2 linked regions of the Arabidopsis thaliana genome follow. The protein of the gene in region 1 binds, or shares a complex with, the protein of each later gene. Each region holds a gene or a part of one and is shown on either strand. Other genes may lie near its edges.

What was found. Proteins that work in one complex are often made in the same cells at the same time.
Region 2: NYE1 (region 1) and PPH share a complex: the UniProt entries of both Arabidopsis thaliana proteins name them as parts of the SGR1-CCE-LHCII complex.

What each region holds. Positions count from the first base shown.
Region 1 is NC_003075.7:12,015,895-12,020,241, forward strand, and holds NYE1 (non-yellowing 1), read right to left. Parts: upstream 2,750-4,347; 5' UTR 2,713-2,749; intron 2,641-2,712; 5' UTR 2,076-2,640; coding exon 1,935-2,075; intron 1,818-1,934; coding exon 1,644-1,817; intron 1,450-1,643; coding exon 1,282-1,449; intron 1,206-1,281; coding exon 882-1,205; 3' UTR 569-881; downstream 1-568. Other genes in the region: PYR4 (pyrimidin 4), read left to right, coding at 3,421-3,450, 3,579-3,727, 3,920-4,101, 4,217-4,347. UniProt on the Arabidopsis thaliana protein: Magnesium chelatase involved in chlorophyll a degradation in the chlorophyll-protein complexes of photosystem I (PSI) and photosystem II (PSII). Contributes to the degradation of PSI and PSII in the thylakoid membranes.
Region 2 is NC_003076.8:4,451,190-4,456,737, reverse strand, and holds PPH (pheophytinase), read left to right. Parts: upstream 1-2,029; 5' UTR 2,030-2,226; intron 2,227-2,377; 5' UTR 2,378-2,430; coding exon 2,431-2,490; intron 2,491-2,587; coding exon 2,588-3,223; intron 3,224-3,566; coding exon 3,567-3,793; intron 3,794-3,893; coding exon 3,894-4,085; intron 4,086-4,184; coding exon 4,185-4,341; coding exon of another isoform or gene 4,342-4,347; exon of another isoform or gene 4,348-4,423; coding exon 4,424-4,675; 3' UTR 4,676-5,003; downstream 5,004-5,548. Other genes in the region: AT5G13810 (Glutaredoxin family protein), read right to left, coding at 145-969. UniProt on the Arabidopsis thaliana protein: Alpha/beta hydrolase dephytylating specifically the Mg-free chlorophyll pigment (pheophytin), yielding pheophorbide. No activity on chlorophyll. Belongs to the chlorophyll catabolic enzymes (CCEs).

The sequences.
Region 1 (4,347 bases):
ATTCAATTTTTCTTCATATATCAAAATATAGTTTCTTTTGTATTTATTTACTTACGAACACAACATTTTATAAAATAAGCCCATGATAATAATGCAATAATTCGTTACCATTCTCTTATATTACTTGTTCTTCTTCTCTTTCTGTATTTGGTGTATTTGGTCGTAAATTAGATAGACGAATGGGGTCAGAGAAAAAAAGTCATCTTGATTTGGTTATAAAATGAAAAAGATATTGAAGAAAGAGACCAAATAAATCCAAGAAAATAATTTGGAATCATTAGGAGCAAGAAGTGGCTGATACGCTTTGCAAAACCACCAGAGAGACAAAGTCTTTTGCCATCTCTTTACCTTCACGTTTCTCCTTAGTTTCTCACCGTTACACCGACGAATTCGGTCCTTAATATACGTCTATTGTTACTTTGGTGATGATTCTCATGAATATCTTCATATTTCTAAACTATTCTTATTTGGGATATTAGTATAACTTTAAATTGGTGATGATTCTCATGAATGTTTTGATATATTAAAATATATATGTTCATTAAACAACAATTTATTCATCTTTATGTTTGCATTGCAGTAGTACTATACCAGTCTGTCACCTTTAATATTAGCTAATCTGTAAGAAATTTACATTTTGATCTTGTGGATGAGATACAATACAAGTATACAACTATGATAAAGACTTCAGAGTAGACACAAAATACCATTTGAAACTTTAAAATCTGTATTTAACCTACAAATAATCATTATTTTCCTATACCACATTATGTACACCAAACCAAACCAATATTTAGATCCACCAAAAGGAAAGTCCTGCCATTTCCTTTTCACTTTGTACAAACTACCAAAAGAAAAACTTGTAATTTGATATTTAGTCACTAGAGTTTCTCCGGATTTGGAGTAGCAATTCCCTCAGTCTGAGTCCCAGAGTAACCATTTACACCTTCATTACTAAGACTATGAGACCATGGAATCGAGCTAACGGTTGGAAAACAACAACTACACTCGTCCGCACACCGAGCCTCGGGAAGAGTCTCAGTCTTGTGACCATCAGGCGAAACAGCTTCCCAAAGCGGACCCCAACACTCGACTTTGTTGAACTCATTGACATTAGAATGGAAATAGACCCAAACAAGAGCTTCTTGTAGCTCAGGATAGTTGTTCAACAAGTTCCCATCTCCATGCACAAAAGCCTTCAACACCTGTATATATCAAAACAATAAACATTTTGTTTTACATGAAACCAATAAAAAGTTTCTTATGAATTTGGGAACTTACCACAGGTAGTTCTTTGCAAAAGATGAAATATCGAAACTTTGCAAAGAGATCTAAAAGGAAATGGCCACCGCTTATGTGACAATGAACGTGAAGCGACATTTTCCCTTTCACTTTCTTCCATTCTGCCACAACTTCATCCCGGTATAGCCTATTTGCCCATCCTTGCAACTATAAAAAACATTTCTATACATATCAGCCTCTAAAGTGTTAAGAGATTCTGGTGAATATAGACACATACATAGGTTAAAACAATCATACATAAGCCTCTAATATTTGCTCCAAATAATCAAATACATAAACATTCTACTCCTATAAACAGAGCCATGTAGATATGTTAAGACCAGAGAGAGAGGTGTTTTTACCTGAGAGTTGTTTATGGATTGAGAAATAGCTAAGGTTAGTTTAGCTGTAATGTCACTGTGAGTGAGTGTGTAAGTCCTAGGGAGCGTTGAAGGATGCTTCTTCTCATCAACCCCTAAGAAGAGTACTTTCAATTTGGATGATTCGAAAATCGCCGGTCCAAACAACCTTGCAACCTGCACCGATCCCAAAAGTTTCAAGTTCCATCAATAAAGACAGAGGCATAGATATATCCATAACTGAGACACATAAAACAAAGATATGTCAAAATGATTAAGAGAACAAATCCTTACGGGAACAATCGATTGGTTCTTCTTCTTGGATCTTCTATTGTTGAAGAAGAGTGAGCTGCTGCTGCTACTGTTACTCCGTTTGTCTGAATAAGCTGGTTTCAGCTTCGTTGGTAACAACATAATCGCCGACAAACTACACATCTCTGCTCTCTTGAAACCCAAATCAAAAGCTTCAATATTTCAGAAATAACAACAGAACAAAACGCCACTAAATACAGAGAGACTCCTTTCACGAAGCTTGGATACAATTTTTTCACGCGAGTTCTTGCGTGTTCGTACACTGAAACCACAATCAAAAAGATTGTAACTTTAAGAAATAAATATATAAAAGACCCAAAATTTGAGCTTTTCCTTTGCTTGATGATTGCTTGAAGCTTTGGTTTTGAATTTTCCTTTTGAGATCTTCCAGGAATTTAGGGTTCTTTGTGATGCGTATTGAGTTGGTTCTTGTGTTTAAAAGGGATTGTTGCTTCACGTTTCACACTTCCGTGCCCAAATCTGAACACTCTTTTGGAATTTTTCTGAACACGAGAGAGTGCCACGTGTTCTCTAATCTTTGCATGAGCTTCCCCATGTGTCGTCATGGTGGGGCTAACAACTGGCTCTAACCGTCTTTTTGGATAACTTTAGCCATCTCGTTGCGACAAAGAGACACAGATTCGGCTCTAACCGAACCTAACTCACGTACTGTAGTTGTCAGTCGAACCTAAAGCAATACGGTTTAGTTTCGGTTCAATTTAATGTCATTCGACTCGATTACTCGGTTTAGTTATTAGACCTGTGAAACTCGAGAGGCTTCTTCGCTTGAATCGTCGTGAACAAGGACAACAAACGCAGGTATTGATGGAACCGGAGGAGTCAGAGAGTCCCATGTTGATCCATAAGGATGTTAAAAAGGGCTGAAATTTGTGATCAGGTCCAGGTCCATTAAAAATATCGGGCTAAAATTGGGCTGGCCTGTTACAGAGCTTTTATTTTTTTCTTCTTCTTTTACGTTAAGCGACGTCGTATCTTGTAAACAACAAAACACGAGTACTGTTTTTTCTTCTTCTTTCTCCTTCAATCTCTTCCTCAAATCACTCTTTTTGGGGTTCGTTTTGTTTGTGTTGTAAGCATCCCTGTTGTGCATTTCGTTTATCCAGGTTCGTATTGCTTACCTAAACAAGTTCAAGTTTTCGATTTTGGTTTCTAGGTGTTTACCAGTTTCGCCATTTTGTGGTTTATTGTTTGGATAATTTGATTTCTTTGGATTTTGCTGATACCCATTTGTGTGTATAGAAATTTGATTAATCTGGATACTAAATTTCGTTTGGAGAAACATTGAACCAAAGGAATGCGAAATCTTTTGATGATGATTGAATAGTTTTAGTGCCTGCTAATACTTTAGAACAGAGTCAATTTTTTAAGGTCATGTTATAGAATCTGAGTCTACTTGTCATTTGCTTTGGAACAGGTGAATTCTTGCAAAGCCTTGAGCAGCTTTCAGATGATAAAGACTTTGGTCTCTCCTTATAGTGTATGTACTCTACCTCCACCACTCTTTGAGTCTTATTCTTGTTTAGTTCAATCCACGTGATCCAGTTTTAATTTTATTTAATTCCTCCTATGCGTCTGTTAAAGTCAACTATTTTATTCTTTATGTAGGGATTTGGATCTCAGAAGTTGAAGTTTGACAGATCTTCTGAGAAAGTGAAGACGAGAGCAGTAAGAATGGAGCTCACAATCACTCAACCTGATGATTGGCATCTTCATCTCCGTGACGGTGATCTTCTTCATGCTGTTGTTCCCCACAGGTCTTATAAACATCCTGCAATCTTTCTTTTCTTTCCTTGCTTTACTTTGTTTTGCAGCCACTTTTTTGTTTGCTATTGGTGTTTCTTGTGGAACCATTGTTTGTTATGTATGAATTCCTCAATCACAATCTTGTGCTGGCGTTGATGCTTGTGCTGTACATGATGGTTAATGGTGTATGTAATTATGTGCAGTGCGAGTAATTTTAAGAGAGCGATTGTGATGCCGAATCTGAAGCCTCCTGTCACCTCCACTGCAGCTGCCATTATTTACCGGAAATTTATCATGAAAGCTTTGCCATCTGAGAGTAGCTTTGATCCACTTATGACACTTTATTTGACTGACAAAACTCTACCTGAAGAGATCAGGCTTGCAAGTAAGTACCTGTGCTTTCTCCATCTTGTTGCAAACTAATCAGATACATTTTCATCTTTCTGATTGAGATTCTACTTGCTAATGTTCAGTTTATGCATATATGATCTTGTTATTAGGGGAAAGTGGTGTGGTTTATGCGGTGAAGCTGTACCCTGCCGGAGCAACAACCAACTCTCAAGATGGTGTCACGGATCTCTTTGGAAAATGCTTACCGGTACTAGAAGAGATGGTCAAACAAAACATGCCT
Region 2 (5,548 bases), on another chromosome or scaffold:
GCTGCTGATCCAAAAGAGATTTTCGGATACTTGTGGCAGCATCATTCACTGTTCTACACAACAATGGAAACATCAAAAGAGAAATAAATACCTCTTTTTTCTTCTTTTTTTTAATGGTTTTTTCAGGTTCATTGATGATATATCTCAAGAAGAGCAATCAGGACAACGTATCAATCCATTCTCATTGCATTCAGGACATCTCTTGACCCTATCTTCATCCTCATCAAACAGTTTCTTGCTGCCACTACAATTGGAACACGGAACAAATCGAATGTCCCCACAGCAATGGCAAACAAACCCTGGTTGTCTCATTGGAAACTCTTTAAGAATCTTAGCAAGCTCACCAATCTCAAACAAACTCTTGATCACATCAGCACCACCAACATACTTGCCCATAATGAAAACTTGAGGCAAAGACACAGACTTCTCTCCCATTGCAATCTGCAACTCTTTCCTATAAGCGATATCCATGGAGACGTCGCGCTCATCGATCCAAACCCGAAACCCTCTAAATATCATTCTGACAGCATAGCAATCCTCATACGTCCGTCTAATCCCTCTCAAGCTAGTAAAATACACCACAATCCTGTCCTCTGTCCCGGGAAGACGGATGACCGAGTTGTTTAAGCTCGAAAAAGGCGATATCCGCGATTCGGGTAAAAGGGATTTACCGGATTTCTGCTTCTGAGGAATCTCAGCTAAGGCAGGTTTAACGGGTTTGGAAGTCTCGAATAATCTACAAAGGTTTTTGACTTTGCCTTTAAGAGAAGTTCCCATCGATTCTACGGGGGTGTAGAATTTGGTAATGGAGGTGGTACGATTGAGAGAAGGATTGAGATTGTGGGATTTGGGGCCCGAATCCACCACTGTTCTTCCGTGAATTGTAAGCGACCTGTTGAAGAACGACGTCGTTGTAGCCGATTTCGTCGTCTTCCCTGAGAAATCAGCGTTTTTCTCTAATCCCGCCATCGAAATTAGATCAAAGAAGCACCCCTTTCGACGGCTAATTTGGTGTAAAACCTAAAATAGTCAACAAAATCAAAACCCTAGGATCAAATTCAAGCAAATTGACGAATACAGAAAGAGAAATTGAAAAACATAAATTGAATAATCGTCGATCACCTCCCAAGGAAGAAATGGAAATTGGAATGATTGGAAAAGAATCAGCTTCTCTGATTTGAGTCGTAAAACGATCGGGTGCTGCGTTTTTGAGCTGATGAATTCTCACCTAAGATTAAAGAAGACGAGATTGATGAAAGAATGATCTGATTTTTCTGGAAATTTGGGGGTTTGTTTGTGTTTTGGAAGAAGATGTGGAGGAGAGCTCCGAATTAGCCTTTTGTCTGTCTGCCTTTGTTGCAAAGCAAAGAATTTTTCTGTTTTTTTTTTAAAGATATAATTATTATGTCTAAGTTATTAAAGGCTCTTTAATGATATATTTACTCGATGCTCCTTCGAGGAAAAACGAATTTGAAAAAATAACAAAAGTGGGATTAAATTGCGAGGAAAAGTCGTTTACTGGTAAAACGCGGTTGTCTTATTAAGAAAGGTTATGGTTACAGCGAAACCAGTTTCTACGGTCGGTTTATTGCTATTGATTCTACGCTCGGTTTAGAGATAGTTGTCTGTATTCTAATTGAAGAGTAGTGTATTTCGCTTTCTAGTCTTCGACCATTAGGATTTTTAGTTCACACAAGATCAATTCTCTAACATTTAAAATCAACTAGAAAACTCAAATAACACCGTTAAAATAGTGATTAAACCATTCAAAAATTAAACGGGTTTTATATTGTTTGATATGAAAACTGCAGGTTTTTCGATTGTTTTTTTTGTTTTCCGATTGTTACACAATGGAAAAGAAGATCAAAAATCAATTGTTTTTAAAAAAAATATTATTCTGTCATATTTTTGCAACAAACATGTGTTTTTGCAATGTTACATCGGTGTCAAATTAGCAATGTCAGATCCAAAACAAAATGTCATATTGTGAAAAAAATAACCCTACACTTAATAATACAGTATGAATTTTGGATCCTTTAAGAAAAAATAAAAACTCGATAAAAACGTTGCTGTCGGTTTGCACCGAACGATTGAAGTTAACCAAGCCAGCAAGCAACCCAATTCTTCTATTTCTTCTTCACCTTTAGATTTTTCCTCGCTTAATTTCTCAATAACGCTCTCAGAGAGACCATTTGATGAAGCTTCTCGCTTCTGGAATTTGAAAAGGTACAAGTTGCAACTCTCTCTTTTCTTTCTTTTCTTCCTGGGTTTATTATATAGCTGGAGTTCTTTGTCGATGAATCGGGTGGTGTTGTTGTTGTTTGGTTTCAATTTGATAGAAGATTGGCTTGACCTTGATTTGCTTTGTTTTGATTAGGATTTGATAAGACGAGTTCATAGAAGATTACCGCAAGTTCATCAACTTTTTGTATGTGGTTTCAGCTTTTGAAGCAAAATTCTGATAACTATACAAAGATTCCAGCTTCATATGTGATTTTCCTTGTTATTCTTAGCTTTGCTATGAAGTTGAGATATATGAGTGGAAAATTCGTATTAAAGGATATGCCTTTTGGTTGTTCATTTGCAGGAACTTGTTATGGAGATAATCTCACTGAACGTTGTGCCCCAGTGCTCTGTGGTTACTTGGAGTAGTAAATTAGCAACGAAAAGATTGGTCCCAAATCGGTCAAGTTTGTTATTCTCAGGGGTCAAAAAATCCAGACTTGTGATTCGAAGTGGAAATTCCGATGGTTATGTTGTTGGTGAGAATGATGACTTGGGTCGTATAGCCAGAAGAGGAGAATCAACGTCAAAGGTTTTGATTCCTGGTTTGCCTGATGAATCAAATGGTGAAATTGCTGCTCGAATCAGTCATTCTCACTGCGAGTGGAAGCCCAAGCTTAGAGTACATTATGAGAAAGCCGGTTGTGACAATCTCGATGCTCCTGCGGTGTTGTTTCTTCCTGGCTTTGGCGTTGGTTCATTTCACTATGAGAAGCAGCTTACCGATTTGGGAAGGGATTATCGAGTATGGGCTATTGATTTTCTTGGACAGGGTTTATCTCTCCCTACTGAAGATCCTACTACCATGACTGAAGAAACCAGTTCCTCGGAAGATAAGGAACCATTTTGGGGATTTGGTGACAAAACTGAACCGTGGGCTGATCAACTTGTATTCTCTCTGGATCTCTGGAGGGATCAAGTTCAGTATTTTGTAGAAGAGGTTAGCAATATCTGAGTTCAGTTGTTCTATTACTCTTTAAGCTGTTGATTTTGTTCTTTTAGTCGTAATTTCAAAAGCAGTGTGTTAGCTTTTTTTTTTTAGTGTAGATTGTTGCTATGTGTCGTATACTCATGGATTTCAATAGTTTTCAGCTCAGAACCTGAAAGTGTGGGTATGGAGTCTTCTGGTGTTGCTTTGGGAATGGGAAAGTTTAGGATGCACTAGATATTAGAATTCATCTCTGTTCTTTGATTCCGTTTGTGTTCTAGTTTGAGATCACGATCTTTTTCATCTGAAATAAGCTGCTGAGTCGGTAAGAGTATGTGGTATTTGTGTTGTACAGGTTATCGGTGAGCCTGTGTACATTGCAGGGAACTCACTTGGAGGGTATGTAGCTCTCTACTTTGCAGCAACCCATCCTCACCTGGTTAAGGGTGTTACCTTGCTTAATGCAACACCTTTCTGGGGTTTCTTCCCTAATCCAGTAAGATCCCCAAAGCTAGCACGTCTCTTTCCATGGCCCGGAGCATTCCCTCTGCCGGAAAGAGTGAAAAAAATCACAGAATTGGTGTAAGGGAGACTTTATTAACACATCTCCTCACCTGAAAAGTATCATTTTCTATTTCTATCTCTATCAGTCTAATATCTTTACTTCCCAATGAAACTGCAGGTGGCAAAAGATAAGTGATCCTGAAAGCATAGCTGAGATACTTAAACAGGTCTACACAGACCATTCTATCAATGTGGATAAAGTATTCTCACGTATTGTGGAGGTCACACAGCATCCGGCTGCTGCAGCATCGTTTGCTTCAATCATGCTTGCTCCTGGTGGAGAGCTATCTTTCTCCGAAGCTTTATCTAGGTATAAGACAGTGTGGTTTCTTGTTTTTATATGTTTTTTACTCTGCGTGATTGGTGTTATTGCTTATGAGGAATGCTGCTATTTGATGGTTTATGCTAGGTGTAAGGAAAACAATGTTCAGATATGTCTCATGTATGGAAGAGAAGATCCATGGGTGAGACCGTTATGGGGAAAGAAGATAAAGAAGGAAATCCCCAACGCTCCATACTACGAGATCAGCCCAGCGGGTCACTGCCCACACGATGAAGTCCCTGAGGTATAATGAACTAGTCAATAAATTCTTCAAACTCTGCAATTAGGTATAATGAACCCACCATTTGGGATATGAAAACGAGCAGGTGGTGAACTATCTGATGCGCGGGTGGATCAAGCACCTGGAGTCTGGTGGTTTTGAAGCGCTCCCGCTTTTGGAGGACACTGAAGAAGATTGGGAGGAGTCCAGGATTGGTAGAGAAATTGAGTTCCCGAGAGATGGTTGGAAAAAAGCAGTGAATCTGTGGTTATATGGGTCAAACTATACGTACTGGAGAGGAGTTAGAGAATCTTTCAGATCCAGTTTTATAAGGGTGTTTGGAGGGAAGTCTGCATAGAAGAAGCATGGAACAGTCGTCTAGTGTAAATTAATTGTAATCTATGTTGCATCCGATGCTAGCTATATAATGTTGTCTGTAGAATCAAGTTTCTAAAATGTTCAAAAGGAAAAGTTAGAAAAATATCTACTTGATAGTTAGTCACCTAAATCGAAGGAACTCCTTTCTTGCATTGTTGTATATAATCCACAGGTTCAGATTAATATAGGAAGGCGACATTGCAGGCCATATGAGTTGTCTTAAAAATTGGAAGAGAGCTTGAAATTACTCTGATTCCAAAAGAAGAAAGTGAGTGTATTTGAATTGTTAATAATTTCCAAAGGTGAACAGTTTTATTGAACATGTATGGTGTTTGAAAAGACGTATCATTGGTTACTTTTCTCGAGGCAAAGTCGTATCCTTGACCATATTCTTCCCTTAGCTTGAATCTCATTTTTGTCAGTTCCACGGTCAACAAATAAGGGACTGAATTAGAAGGCTATCCAAACCACTTTTGAGAAACTTACTTACACAGGCTATATATCCAACATGAGATTTGGTCTGCTTCTTTTCTTAATTTGTTTCTTAGTCTCTGATAAAATCTCGTTATCTATTTATTGATTTGAGTGTCAAAAAAAAAAAACCGGTGTTACAAAGCTGCTACTAAAGTGTCGTTCTACACTAGTTGTAAGAAATTACTTCTCAGTATGTTTTTTTATCTCTCACTAGTTGATAACATAATGGTAACCATCAAACAATGCTAGTTGTTGCAATTTTATTCTTGGGGGTACTTTGAAATTGTTTCTAATTGTTGCTCTGAACTTTTTTTTATTTTTATGTCGGTCAACATTGTTGGTCTGATTTATGTCTTACAACAACATTAAAGAGAAAATA